Linked DNA regions of Oreochromis niloticus. The protein of the gene in region 2 purifies or fractionates together with the protein of the main gene of each other region. This does not show direct contact. Links are inferred from orthologs where the notes say so. Each region holds a gene or a part of one and is shown on either strand. Other genes may lie near its edges.

The links. Proteins that work in one complex are often made in the same cells at the same time.
Region 1: the proteins of serine/threonine-protein phosphatase 2A 55 kDa regulatory subunit B delta isoform (region 2) and cdca4 purify together in Homo sapiens (affinity purification with mass spectrometry; 3 studies listed by BioGRID and IntAct, counting the BioPlex papers as one, with this or other methods). This does not show direct contact. The link is inferred for Oreochromis niloticus from reciprocal best matches to the Homo sapiens genes PPP2R2D and CDCA4.

What each region holds. Positions count from the first base shown.
Region 1 is NC_031983.2:6,918,710-6,925,988, forward strand, and holds the start of cdca4 (cell division cycle-associated protein 4), read right to left. Parts: upstream 3,036-7,279; 5' UTR 2,693-3,035; intron 1-2,692. UniProt on the Homo sapiens protein: May participate in the regulation of cell proliferation through the E2F/RB pathway. May be involved in molecular regulation of hematopoietic stem cells and progenitor cell lineage commitment and differentiation.
Region 2 is NC_031978.2:14,378,274-14,386,282, reverse strand, and holds the start of serine/threonine-protein phosphatase 2A 55 kDa regulatory subunit B delta isoform, read right to left. Parts: upstream 3,079-8,009; 5' UTR 2,881-3,078; coding exon 2,874-2,880; intron 2,677-2,873; coding exon 2,602-2,676; intron 2,097-2,601; coding exon 1,999-2,096; intron 904-1,998; coding exon 738-903; intron 652-737; coding exon 539-651; intron 452-538; coding exon 274-451; intron 162-273; coding exon 1-161. UniProt on the Homo sapiens protein: Substrate-recognition subunit of protein phosphatase 2A (PP2A) that plays a key role in cell cycle by controlling mitosis entry and exit. Involved in chromosome clustering during late mitosis by mediating dephosphorylation of MKI67.

The DNA of each region.
Region 1 (7,279 bases), on a different chromosome or scaffold from region 2:
TGTACCACCATGAGCCACTAATATTTACAAGGGATATCAGGTTTCCAGGTCTACGCACGCGACGCTTCAAAAACTAGCAGAACAAGATTTTCACTTTCTCTTCACTGAGGAGGGGAAGAAAAGCACAGTCAACTTCCTCATTAAATACCACTTCAACACACACATGTCTTACAGAAACAAAACAATACTCCCGCTAATGTTAAAGGCCCCTCTGACTCCCAAAAATAAATGGGATGCAAGTGAATAGGAGACTGAGCTCCAAACAGCAGCCTGTGGCATTTAATTTTCCATCAGACAGAAAAACAGTATGCACAGTGTCCGGCTGTCTCCTCTGTGTTAAACCTGTGGGCAGGGCATTTGGGTCAATGATTCCAGTTGCTTCAAATTTCTATTTGTGATAGACATTTTAAAAAGGGGAAAAAAGAAAACACAAAATTTTTTAAAATCAGTACAATGAAAAACAACACTGATTCATGTTTTGCGTTAGGATTCACAGGGCACAAATCACAGAGAGGGTTGGATCACTTTACAGAAATTTCCTGTTTTTCAGGAACTAGGAATCAAAAAGAAACTACCATGCCCAAGACACTGCTGTTACTGTCATAAATCATCTCCACACCAAATTTTCATTTTTATTTTAGGATGCCAGGCCAAACTAAGGCCCATAATCTGTGCAAATTACATATTTTAACATTGACACAGTGTGTAGTCACGGGTGTTGTGCAATAGCATACTGACAAAAACTAGTAAAACAAGTCAACACCTTGTGAGTTCACATTTAATAGAAAAGTATACATCTAAATAGTTGATCAATCAGATCCCCACATTTTTCAAAAGTTACAATCCATGCCAAAAGGAAAAAAAAAAAGAGAAGTGGCTCGTAAGTACAATTAAAGGCTTGGGAGCCTGGAGGTCTTTGAGTCCTCGTAATCATAGAATAACATTTCCTGACAGTGGACAGAATAAAGGGGGGAAAAGGTAATTTATGAAGATACCCGGAGATCTAAAATGAAAAGGGTGAGAAAACGATTATGGACATATGTTGTCTTCTTATGTGGTGCAATAATACTGGTCCCTGTTAAATAAGAGACACTAGAGAGAACTACCTCCTTAAAGAAAAAAAAGTAGAAAAATGAAAAAAAAGAAAAAAAAGACATTAAATAGAAACAGGAAGAACTACAACCTGAGAGACGGATCACTGCACACAGAAGAGAAAACAGTTTTGGACATGACAACTTTTTTTTTTTTTTAACATTTATACTGATAATTGTTTTCGAACACCCTATAGTTTAGCATTTTTAAAGCTTAAGGATTCTACTCTGAATTTAGAATTAGATTTCTGAAAACAATAAGAAAAACAGCAATTCATATGTAGGTCATATATAAAATAAGACTGAAAGCGAGTTATGTCCTAACCAGTCTGATCAGTCATCTGTAGCAGGCAACATACACAGTGCGTTGTGTTGTGTTTTTCCACTGTGGGACATGTAAACAACTACAATCTCATACAATCAATTCCCTAAATGTTCTTACATTTTAACCACTTAAAACACTTTCAATCAAGATAATATTGACAGATAACCTAATATGAGCACTAAATAACAACCAAACTCCTGATAATAACATCTCAATCTGCAAGTGAACATTTTTTTTAAAGATTTACTTACTTTACCAATAAGAATGTATTGATTTTAAAACCCAAAGTGATCTGCTACAGACGCTTAATTTTAATGACTGATGTCGAGATCATACTCAGTTAAATAGTATTCATTTACACCTGCACATTAGTATTGATGTATTTCAGACCATTAAACTTAGTCGCACATCTTTTTAACATGATTTCACAAAAATGCTGACATATGTGGTGTTCAAAAACTTCTAACATATCAGGAAATAAGTGCGGGGAGGGGGAGGAGGATCACCTCGTGTAAATCAGTACTTTATTCTGATGCTGACATTACAGTTGTATTTACGTCAGACAGACAGTGTCACTAAACTGGATTTAAAACAGTTTAAATACAGTTACTAAACTGAGTGTTTTCTACTATGCTAGGAAGCAGAAGCCAAACAAAATGCAGCCCCGTTTTACGTCAATGGTTCTTAGCATGGCCCATCCCCCACCACTTTCACAGCCCGCCGTACTAAATGAATAAACACATTTTTAAAAAGCACTGCTTACATTTCTCCCACTTCCCTCTTAAATACATAGCGCTACCACTGCCAGTCGCCAGATTAAAACCGCTAGAATAGCTGTAAAAAGCGACGGAGAGCTTCTGGCCGTGACTGCCGCATGCTTTTGTCTTTTCAGCATCAGAGCTACCGAGCGACAATGAGGCCATTTTGCGCTAGTAGCTAACAGTTAGCCGGCCGGCTATGCTACAGACGGAATTTACACTTCTGGGTTGCCGCTAGCTAGCATAAAATGTTCCGTGAAAAAAGATGCCTCCACGGAGGCACAAAACCCTCGGCATTCGTTTGGAAACTTCCTCTTACATAAAACGAATGCTAGCGAACGTAAAGCTAATTAGCTAAAAGCGCCCACCCACCCACAGTCCGCGGTCCTTCCTCCTTTCTAGCCAAAAACAAGAGTTTTCGCCACGGCGGAGCTGTTAAGTTCCCCAAAAACAACACACGGTCACCCGGGTGGCTAGTTAAAAACACTATCGTCGGGTGCTTGAGTAGCCGTACTCACCTCGTGTTTGTGTTAATTTAATTCCCGTCTCGGTCATAGGATCGACAGCAGAGAAAGCGGAGATCAGGTTCAGATGAGATCATTCATGCCACGGCTTCAAAAACTGAACTACCTCTGTCCTGCTGCTGCTGCGGAGCGGACGACAGGAGGGGAAGGAAGGGAGGGGGAGGGGAGCCGACAAAAGCCAGCCATATGCCTGGGATTCCTCTCTAATGATTTCTCCCTGCTTTTCTCTCCTACTAATGCTTTAACAAACAAGCCAAAGCCCGCTGCTGGCTTCAAGAACAAGATGTAGAAGATCTGATGTTGTTCTGGTTACTCTTTGTGTATTGACGCTGCGTTTACCGCTGGCCTTTTTAACAAGAAAAACAATCTGTGGCGAGGGGAATTATACCCACTGAATGGAAAGTGACTAAGAAACACGAATTTACTCCGCTACGTGCCTAGTCCCTAGTATGTATGAGGTTATCGTGACATTTCGGTGTTATGCCTTTTGTTTATAGCGAATGATTTTACTTCTGATTTCACTGTCTTTATCTGACTGTTGCAACTACCAGTTTACTGAAACATATAAAAGGCTGGCTGGCGACAAACCTTTTGGCTTTTATTGTGCACGACTGATTACTTTAAGAGGTAAAATGACATAATACTCATTCAAACAAAAATAAATTTGTACGAAGTCCCTACAAGAGAATCCAATGTTGTTTAGCAAAACATCATTTTTCTATGTTTGTACTTTATTAATAATCCAATAACCTTTTTACTCACTGTATGAATTTTGAGCACTTACACTGTGGATTCACCCTCCAGTAATACTACAGTTCTACACTGACACAAATATCAAAACGCAACCCAGTTTATTAATAAATAATAAAAATAGGAAATGCTTAATAGAAAATTGTAACAAGAAACCTATTATTCTATTTATATAATATTAAAAAATAGTCTTTAACCACTCCTAATTTCTTTATATTTTCTTAGAGAAATGGGATATAGGTGACGTGATTTATTTAAAATTGTGCAAATACAAATATAGCTCGTACAACAAAAACTGAATGTGCACAATCCTAATCAACTTAGAAGTCAGTATTTGGTATGACCACCTTTATTCTTCAGCACAGCCTAAACTCTCTTAGGCAAGCTTTCTTGTGATTTCATTAATTAGGAATAGGAAGAATCAGGAATAGTTCTCCAGGCTTCTTAAAGGATATTCACAGCTCTTCTTTGGCTGTTGGCTGTTTTTTTGTTGTGTTTTCTGTAAAGATGATCCCACACTGCTTCAGCAATGTTGAGGTCCAGGCTCTGGGGAGGCCAATCCAGGACTGATAGTGTTCCACAGTGCTTTGCCACTCATTTTCATTTCAGTTATTCCGTAAATTGTCATACGTTAGCCCTTTCTTCCTGTTTCCTTCCTTAAGAATGGCTTCATGATTGTCACCCTTCCATTGAGACCGTTTCTGATGAGGCTTTGGCAAACCGTAGATGGATCAACTAAAGGGCCAGATATGTTTCTCAGGTGCTTTGTCATGTCTTTGCTGATTTTTGTTCCTATTTCTTTCAATCTGCCACTTCTTTTTTGTTTTCATCCTCCACTTGTCACTTCTTTGATATGCCATCTTTTTAGCTAAAAATGCTTTTTTTTATGCCTGTGATACTGTACGATACTATGGCATTTTACACTTAAAGCTACAATGTAAAATTGGTTAAGTGTATAGAAAACAGTGGTTGAGCCCATGAGTTAGATGGCTTTATATGTCTGAATTGTCAATTTTCTTGTCAATTAATAAGTCCGGTGTTAAGCACCTTAAAAGGCAATAAAACATTCTTCTGAAAATAGTCAGATACAAGGAACGGACTGAAAATGAAAGAAAAATTTGCTTCAGAAAGTCAGAAGAACTATTGCTCAAGACCAGTTTATAAAAATAACAAGAATGTCTGGCTTCTTGGAAGTGAAATGAGGGGTGGCTCAATACTGTTGCACAGTACCGTATTTATTTTATTTTTTTTTACATGAAATAATTGTTCTTTTTTAATTTGATGGCACCGAAAAAAGCTGTGAAACAGCCATTAAAGGCACCTGGTGGAACATCTCTTTACACTAATTGGGTTTGTTGGCAGCAGGTCAGTAACACGACTGGGTTTAAAAACACTGCCACACATGCAGACTGAGCCTCTGGTAGTTGTGATCAGAACTAACACACCACATTTTGGGTAATAGTGCGTGGATCTTACCCAGTGAGCTGTAAGCATGGTTTATACATGTTATGTGTGTTGAGACCGCAATAATAAAACCATTTTGCTCAACCCCGAACAGTTACTCTGCTTTATTTTGAATGTCACTGGTCCATTATGAGTCAAATTTGAATAAAGCCTTTGAATAAAGTTCAAATGGTGTTAACTGTTTTTAGATAATATAACAGAAACCATAGTTTTACACTTAATACATGGCAAAAAAGGTATATACTTGTTGAGTCACTGTATGCTCTGTTTTCACCAAGTCAAACAAACAAAATGCGTCTAAGCTTTTTCCTTTTGGTGGTGAAAAGGACTTGCTTTTGCTTATGCTCGTATTTTCTTAAAATGCTGAAGAAATCATTCTGGCGAGGTAACAAAAAGTCAGCTGGTTTCAGTAGCTGATAGAACCGCTTTTAACCCTTTATAGTTTGGTCTAACTTAACTCGGTGTGTCATTTTTTCTTATTTTCACCTTTTTCTGTCTTGTTTATGTGGACAGACACTTAAAAGAAATGTCTTTGGTAATATATTGTATTGATAACCTGTGGAAATATTCTCATTCACTGGAAATTTTAATGCAATGACAGACAGATTCAAAGAACACTGAGTTTTATACTTTCCCTGTGTACTAAAGAAATCAGAGATCTGATTACAAATCCATACTAAGGCCAGAAAAAGACAATAAAGTCAAGTTCAAATATGATCCCATGTGATTTTCCATCTCAATAGAGATCACTTTGATAAGTAAACTGCATGAACAGTCTTTTAGAATTGTGTATTTTGCTCATTGATGGTTGTTTTTTAAGCTTCTAAACTGCAGGTTTAATAAGAAGTTAAACTGCACTTTGTTTATATCTTCCCAAATCAGTAGCAGCCACCTTTGGAGGCTTTTCATTAGTGTTTTTTATAAGACTCTTTAAATCTGATTGGTGTAATTACCAGTAATTATCATCGCTAATGATGCTTATTACCTCTGCCTCTGGATGTTTTCATTTGCAGCAATGGTTATTAGCTTATCTATGTGCCTGTTACCAGAACCTACACAGACTTTAAATCCTCGAGGCTCCAACATCTAGCTACTGATCTGTAACCTCATTGGAACAATTATTAGACTTGACACAAAAAACAGAAGGTGGGGCTACTTTTTGGATAAGACGGATAATAAGAGTTAATTTGACTTATTAGAGGATATAAGTTACGTACCAAACGCCAACTTTAGCAAGGTACACCTTGCTAGCCCCAGGTTAGCCCCCTTTTGCTATAAAAACTGTTTTAATTCTTCGTGGCACTAATTCAAAATGGTGCTGGAAAATTTCCTCTGAGATTTTGGTGCATATTGACGGGACAGTATCACATAGTTGCTGTTCATTTATCGGCTGCGTGTCACCACAACCACCTCTCAAAGGTGCCCTATTGGATTTGGTCACTGTGGAAGCCGTTTGAGTACAGTGAACTCACTTTCATGTACAAAACCCCCCCCAAAAAAAACTGTTTGACATGAGTCTCCAAAAGTTGAATCTGTTCATCTGGACGTAGCGTTTTGTGGGAGAAACGTTTCGTCACTCATCCAAGTGACTTCTTCAGTCTCAGCTGACTGCAGGTTTCCCCAAACCTTATAAACAGTACATTTGCATAATGACTGAAACCAGCCCACTGAGGGAACAATGGGCTGTGAGGTCAGTTTCTTAATCATAATTATGCAAATTCCATGACCATTGATCAACAATCACTGACCAAAACCCACTGATCAAAGAACACTGATCAATGGCCATGAGTACCATTCACAGAGAGTTGGGGAATGGCTGCAATCACAGCATTGTAAGATGGTGACAGATGTACCCTTAGGCCCCCTCCTCGATTCAGAGATGGTCTTTCCCTTTTCACGTAAATGGCCTCCTTGACTCCGCGCTCAAACCGAGGAGGGGGCCTAAGGGTACATCTTTCGCCATCTTACAATGCTGTGATTGCAGCCATTCCCCAACTCTCTGTGAATGGTACTCATGGCCATTGGGGTGGGGTGGCTGTAGCTCAGGTGGTAGAGCAGGTCATCTACTGATCGGAAGGTTGGTGGTTCGATTCCTGGCTTCCCCTAGTCTGCATGCCAAATATCCTTGGGCAAGATACTAACCCCAAATTGCTCTCCGATGCATCCATCGGAGTATGAATGTGTGTGTGAATGTTACTTAGAAAGCACCTAGAAAAATGTGCTTGTGCGAATGGGTGTGAATGGGTGAATGCACAAGTTGTGTAAAGCGCTTTGAGTGCTCAGAAGAGTAGAAAAGCGCTATATAAGAACCAGTCCATTTACCATTGATCAGTGTTCTTTGATCAGTGGGTTTTGGTCAGTGATTGT
Region 2 (8,009 bases):
TGAGTGCCTATCACAGAGCGCTGCCGCTCGCATGTCACACAGGCGGATGGTTCCTTTGCTACTGCTGTACACAAATACATTGCATTGATGTGGATGGCACTCAGCAGCTGTGATTACTTCTGTCAATTCCTCCATGTTGGCGGGCTTGATGTCTACAATATCTGTTAGCACACTGTTAAGGAGCTAGCAGTCTTATATTTTACATTGATGCAATGCTATTAAAACTTTAAGACACATCTAAAAATCAGCTTTCTGATATTAAAAAAAGGATACTAAAACTTCTGTCTGTGATTTCCAAGTGCCATAGATTTATTCTTAGGTCATCTGCAGAGAGGTAAGTTTCATGATCACTATTTACAGAAATGGAATTAATGTGATAGGTGTGCGCATTTGCAAAGATCCTCCGTGGGCTTGCTTCTACCATGAGATCCATTGGCATCAGTACTGGTACCTGAAATGTACAACAATCAATTTTAGAAAGGTTATCACATAGAGTTATGCTCAGAATGAGGCTGGTCTGAAGGACGGCTAAACACACCCGTAAAGAGGTGATTCTAAAGGGGTCTCTGAGTCGTCCGTCTTCATCCTTCAGATTGTAACCTTCTGCTCGTTTATCTCTTTCACTAATTTTCCACAATTTGATAGTTTTATCTGGGGAAAAAAAAGGAAAGGCTTTAGGAGAGAGAACATAGTGCTTCATTATCAACAATTAAGAAAAACAGAAAAAAAGCTCTTACCATTTGTTGAAAGTAGAAAGTGAGCAGCATTTTGTTGTGGTAGCCATCTTATTTTATTAATTTTTTCCTCGATTTCTAAACTTTTCAAATAATCAAATTCTGGCTCGTGACTCTGAAAAGTGCTATAGACGTTGTACTCCCCACGCAGGTGTGGACGATTCTTAGACTGAGGGGGAAAAGGCAACAAAAACAACACTGTAATCATGGTATTGTTTAGGGCATTAAAAAAAACAACAACAGCAAAAAAAACAAGATTTCATCATTACTTGTTCATATTTTTGCATAAATATGTAAAAAAAAAAAAAAAGCTCATTACAGAAAATAGCACAATAAACAACAAGCAAAATAAATAAAAATACATTTTCGGCCACTCACTTATTTACAAGTGGGCTGCCCAAGTGGGTAACTCCTTATACCGGTATTTGATTCTGCATAGTAGACATTAGTTGGTCTTCCTGAGACAACCCCAAAAACCCACAGACCAAGTCCATGTATAAACTACTACACTGTGGAGCCACATGTAGATTTTTCACAACAGTTCCATTATGGAGTACTAATGTAAAACACTATGATCATGGCATTGTGCTTTTTGAAATGCCCTAAACAATGTTTAATAGCACATTTTCATCGTAGCTTTACCATATTTTCCATAAATATATGAATAAACTGAGAAGAACTATTATAACACCTTCCCATGATAGTTTAGTACCTTAATATTTAACCTTAAAACCAAAATAAATAAAATATCCAGTTTGAATAACACTCACACTTTGTTCCTAGCCAGTGTTTCTGACAACTGTTTACTTCCTAAAATATACATGCAGGCTTCAGTTCTTACATGCAGTTTTATTACGCATTACATTGTTCTGTGCTGTGTGCTGATGAATGCATCTTATGGTATATGTGAGCACAACAAAACAAATTCCTATAAATTGTATTGTTGAAATGGATACAATAAACTTGGTCTTTTATATGTTGTGTGTCCCAGAGAGCTCATTCTGCTCATCTGGATGTTGCGTTTTGAGTGGGAGGCATTCATCCAAATGACTTCCTCAGTCTCAGCTGAGTGCAGGTTTCCCCAACCCTTATAGACACTACATTTGCATGATGATCTAAACTGGCCACTGACTAACAATGGGCTGTAAGGTCAGTTTTATGATCATTAATAAGCAAATACTGCTCAGAGAATATTTAATATTTATATACAACAACAGCTTAGGGCTTCACTTCTGGCACGGTGTTACTGCTGTGTGATCCTTACCTCTTGTTCATGCTGAAATATCACTACTCTGCCTCCCTTGTCTCCAGTTGCCAGTAGCTCTCCAGAATAGTTGAACTCAACGGTTGAGATTATGTCAGCTGAAAAGACAAATTGGTGTGAATCAGACCTCACAGCTCAGCTTCCGCACTGTAGTTGGGATGGCAGCTAGAATGCTACTGTGATGGGCTGCAGGCTGAGTCTGGTCCCACTGTTCTTATAGAAAATTTAAAATACCGATAACCACATAAAAGCACGTACACCCATTAAGGTATGAATGAAAACAAGCATGATGTCACTCGACAATTTATGGACGCAGCACATTGACGTCACGGGCACGGTCGCTCCCCCTTTAATAGTTTAGCCACCACCTAGCTCATAGCGAGCTAGCGACACACAGTAATCTACAAGGAAAGGGCGTTTGTGCAACTGATCCACAAACAAGTCCACACTAATCACGAGAGCAGTCTTGCAAAAAAGCACGCGCGTCCATCCGCCGTCAGCTCTCGTGCACCTCAAGTGAATCCCACAGAGAACCATCATCAGACCACCTAGCTAGCTGCCCACCACTGTAGCCTAGCCGCCGAGCTAACGTTAGCCACATACCTTCCGCAACATCTTCATCTATCGCTCCTTTTACTTGAGAGAAACACCACTGAAAATCATTTCCTCCTGCAACTCCTGCAAAAAGAAACCAGGGTTAGTGTGATTCCAGCTCGTCCTTCATCGGGCGGTAATAATGACCTGACAGTGACACAGTTTGACAACTAGCAACTTAGCTTGCCAGCGCTAACGCTGGTTAGCCAAGTTGCAGATTCAGGCCATCACACACACCAAGTGAGGTGGATCCTTTTCCCTCCCTTTAAAAAGTAGCTTACCCGCCATTGCTTCATTTAGCAGCTCTTGTTGTACACAGCTTCCAATGCCTTATCAACCAGTGCGGCGCGCTCGGGGAGATAGATAGCATCCACAATCAGTGTGAAGACTCGGGTCCAGATCTGTCAAGACCACGGAAATTATCCGTGATTTTTTTTTCTTCCAAAATGGCGCACAGTACATGGAGAAATGACGTCATGCACACATGCCACATCCTGACTCCATCCATCCTCCTGAGCATCATATCAGTAAATGTGCATTTTCACTGGATTTTATATCCACCCAGCTTTGTTTCAATGAATTGCATGTTTTACATATATGGTTATTGAGGATTTTTAATCCTATTTAGCTGCCCACTAATGAGCAGGACAAATACAATTTACACATCCCCGCCTGGTTATTTTCACTGTGACTGAAATAAACAGCAACACATGCAAAAACAACTAAGAAAATCTACATTTTTTCCAGTCATATATCCACTGAGCAAATATGTTTAATTAAAATTATTTGCATAGCAGCCTATGAATAAGAGTTAAACACATTTTTGTTTGCATGTTGAACGTTTTTTGACATTTTAAAAAATACATTTTTATTTTTTATAATTTACATGCAAAGTGTGATTTTGAGTAAAGCGTCACTTTGAATTATAGTGACAACATGTAGTACCTCAGCCTGTATTGGATGGTCAATCGGTGACATCTAGCGGCAAAACTGAGAAAATTCAGTTTACTCCGCATCCAGTATATAGTTTTCACTCGATTTTAGTCTGTATCCTTTTCTATTTTTATATTTCTTCACGAAGATAAAGGTAAAAAGAGTCTGACAAGTCCAGTGAAAACAAATGCAAGCCAGTGTTATTAGAAAGAAAGCTGCCACTCAAAGAATCCAGAATTTAAATCTATGAGAGAATTTCACAACAATGTAAGTGAGCCTTTTAAATTAGTTTCATTGGCTAAAACTGGTAATTCTGCACATGCAGTTTCAGTTTTCTATGACCAAACAAAAGTAACTTAGATAATGATTCAAAGTATATTAGGTTAATTTGATATTATTTCAAATACTCAGTGTGATTTTTAAAAGCTACAAAATAATTTTTAAGCTATTTTACGCAGAATCAACAAAAAAATATGCTGTGTATTTATTTTTTAAATAGACTGTCTGCAGTGTGATGTAGTGCATACAGAAATGACTGCTATAGATGGTGTATTTTTTTTTAATTAAATACATATGGTGATATATATACACAGTTCAGTGGATAAATGCCAATAAGCAGATATGAAAAAGCATAGTCTAAAGCTTGTTTTTATTCAGCTATCATAGCGTGTGTTTTTGAAGCCAACTCATCACTTGCACTGACTTGAAGTTTGATTATATATATATATTTTCCCCATAGTTTATATTTGGTTTTTGCAGCTGCACATTGTCCAGGAGGTGGCAAGAGAATAAAAACGATGTACCCTTGAAGACCTGGGCCAAATCCCACCAAAACCTTCTCCTCGGTATCTCCCAAGCTACACATCGTCTCATCACTCACACAGAGTCCCACGGGAAGAAGCAGAGCAGAGGCCTGGAGGTTAGGAAGACTCTCTCACTCCCTCACTCTCTTTCTCAGTACACCTATATATCTATATTTAACTATCTATACAGGTACAGATATATCTATTTATTTGTCTATAGAGATATCTATATAGATATAGCATAAAAGTAAATGTTCTTATAAGGTGTTGGGTCAACACCTGCCACCAGAACAACTGCAGTACTCCTTGGCATTGATTCGGAAAGTTTCTGGAACGCTACCAGAGGAGATGCTTTGATAATGTAGTGGTGAGCACTGTCTGACCCTTGCAGTAACTCTTGTCTCCAAAATGACACATCTATCTATCTATCTATCTATCTATCTATCTATCTATCTATCTATCTATCTATCTATCTATCTATCTATCTATCTATCTATCTATCTATCTATCTATCTATCTATCTATCTATCTATCTATCTACATCATGGACTGCGTTGCACTTTTCCTGCTCAGTTTCCACACATGAATACATAATGGGTGTAAATTATGCATTTTCTGAAAGTGCTGTCTGAAATGCAGTTGACTAATGTCAGTTTACCAGAGAAACTCTACAGCACCGGCTTGTGTATTGATCTCATTTGCAGTTAGTAGATGTGAGGGCATTTAGCTTTAAATTAACAAAAGATGGTCCACCAGTGTTTCATAAAACCATCATTATTTTAACAACCGCTTAAACCTTTTAAAACACCCTTGACTTCTACGTGTGGAGCCCTGTGCACCAAATGGGTTCGTTGTGTTTTGTACTTTGATTGCTTAAATGTTTGACTAAGTGGACCGGTGTGTCAGTCATTACTTTGTGAATACAGTACAAACACATCATGATTTGAAAGCAGTAGGTGTGTGGGTGTAGACGCCACACTGATGTCCAAATCAGAATAAAAAAATAGGGCTTTTAAAAAATTAAAGAAATTGCTGAATGGCGATTTTTCGTTAATTTAAAAATGTCTCTTTATAACGTGTTATACATTGAATTAAACAAAACTGCTGTCCCGATAAGACTGCATTATTAAAAGCAAGTGAAGCAGTTTCTGTTCACCATCATTGTGTGAACGTGTAATGCCCGAATGCAGCCTAATTTATGATTTAATAAACCGTACAGCTTAATCGTTGTGTGCTTTCGAAATGTTCACGTTTGTACGAGTCGAGCGTTGTGGCTGTGACTGTGTGTGTGAGTGTGCTGCCGTGCCGTAGCTTCATCAGGTATAAGGAGAGGTGTTGACTTTATTCCGAGCCTCCAGTAACACCACTGACTCTGATAGTTCCCCATCCCTGTGGGAATTCATTATAAGACAGCTAGAGGCTGCTTGTGGATGGTTACTGTGCTGCCCGTATGTTAACTTGTCGCTATCGCGCAAGGCAAACATGTGGTGCAGCTGCTTTCTCTGGCTGTGGGCAACCTGGAGAGATTGATTGGTGAGCCTTCTGTTTTATCCAGGATCAGGGCCACATTCAGTAGACATGGTGCCTCCGGAGAAGCAGCCATTTTCCCCAGAAAATATGGCTCATTACCAGCACAGACAAAATGAAGGTATATTGACTTTTTAACATCTTACAACACACCTATTCCTGGCCCGTTTAACAAAAAGCGTTTGTTATCCTGGAAATCTTTACTTCATCTTATTCCCATGTTACTGAATACAAAACCAGCGCTGATTTCAACATGAGCTAATCATGCCCAGGTTTATTTTGCCAAAAATCACACACATCGCAGCTACTATCCTCACCTATTTCTCTTTGAATTTACACACACAGTCATGAACATAAATACCCATGCACATTCATTTTTGCCCGGCACGCACAAACATACCCTTCCCCCACATTTGGTCAATCAGACAGTTTTTAACACAAACCATTGGCCAGTGGATGTGTCTGCTCTGCTCAGGGGCATAAGCTCTGTCCAGACCCTGAGTCCTAACACACACACACACTCCCTCTCTCTCTCGCTCAAACACACACTCTCTCACACACACACAAACAGCAAAAGACAAACACAATCAATTATTCAAGACTCTTGTTTTGGCTCATGTGTTTTTTCTTATTATTTCTGTTCTGTTGTCTCTATAGTATCCTCTGGCAACCTAACAGCCAGGAGGCCAGATGAGTGAGATATGAGGCCTGATGACTTGAGGTCTGTGTATGTCTTTGTAATTTAGATGGCAGAGTATAATTTGCATGCACAGCCTTCAACATCGTCTCATTGTCTGAAGGAGATTATCCTTGCGGCTTGCCACAGCCGCGGGTTGTCAAAGACCTGGCTTCTAAGACAAACCTTTGTCTCCTTGTTTATTTCCCCTATGAGTGGAAATTTTCAGTGTGGTCATTTAGTGTAGCTGAAACTCACACTGAAGCACACAAGCGATCAGTGAAAACACTACACCATCCTTTATCATAATCACAAGTAGCCCTTAAGCCCTGTACCTTTGCATGTACGCTGCAGTATGTAGTGTATGTTTTACATACAGGGACTGTCATTCTTCAGTGTGCAAATTTGTGCACTAGATGGCACTATGGCACTTATTATTCAGTGCCAACAGATCATTTCCATTTTGGAGGGTGAGTGTGTGTGTGTGTGCGTTGGTGACAAAAGTGATGATCACAAACAGCTTGTTTTCCCAGACACGATGTTAATGCTATCATAAAGAACCCCATACCCACTCTTATTTATTTATTAACTCTTTTGACCTTTAAGCAGAAAACACTTGTTGTTGTGCCTAAATTTTATGTGAAGTATTTTTGAAAAACACAAAACCGGACTAGTGTTGTTGACTAAAGTTTGCGTCTCCTCTAACTTGACACATTCAGTGATTTTTTTTCTTCTTAGGGCTCAATTGAGAGTCAAACAACTCTCCTGAAACAATCAAAACAGAAAAGAAGCACATTGTAGAGATGTATTATATGTGAATCCTTGCTGCGATGATGTCCTTGTAAGAGATCATATTGTAAATAAGATGGGTTAAATTGCACTTGTAGCTTCCTTTCAAACAGTCAGGCTACTCTCGAGGGGAGACAAGAGAGCGCTGCAGACTCTACCTCTAATAACGCTAGACAATGAGATCCCAGCTCATAACATAGGCCTCCACTATATAGAACAAGTAGTGGGGGCTTAGCAGCTAATAAAGTGGCAAGTCTTCAAATCCATGTCAGAAGAGCAGAGTGCCACGGGGACCTTTCATAACACTTGTATGTGCAGGTTCCAGTGCAGTGTAAAGGTTACACATCCACATTGTACTGATCTAACCTGATGAATTGCCTTAAGCCTCACAAATTTCAAGGCTGTGTTTCTTATTTAAAGAAGCAGAACTGAATAATTCTCCCACTCTCTAAAAGATGACAGGTGAAGACAGGAGTGTGGAATGAATATTTGAGATGCAATACAAAATCGACTGTGTGCACTCTTCCCTATTAAAGCGCACGAAGCAGCAACACATTTAAAGCTGTTCAGTTTAATTTGAATTTGCTTTTGTTTTATATCTGATAAGCGTGTTGTCGACAGAGGTAATTTTTCTTTTCAGAATTATAATACACATCGGTTTTGTTAATTGAATCATGCTGCCCTTTGAG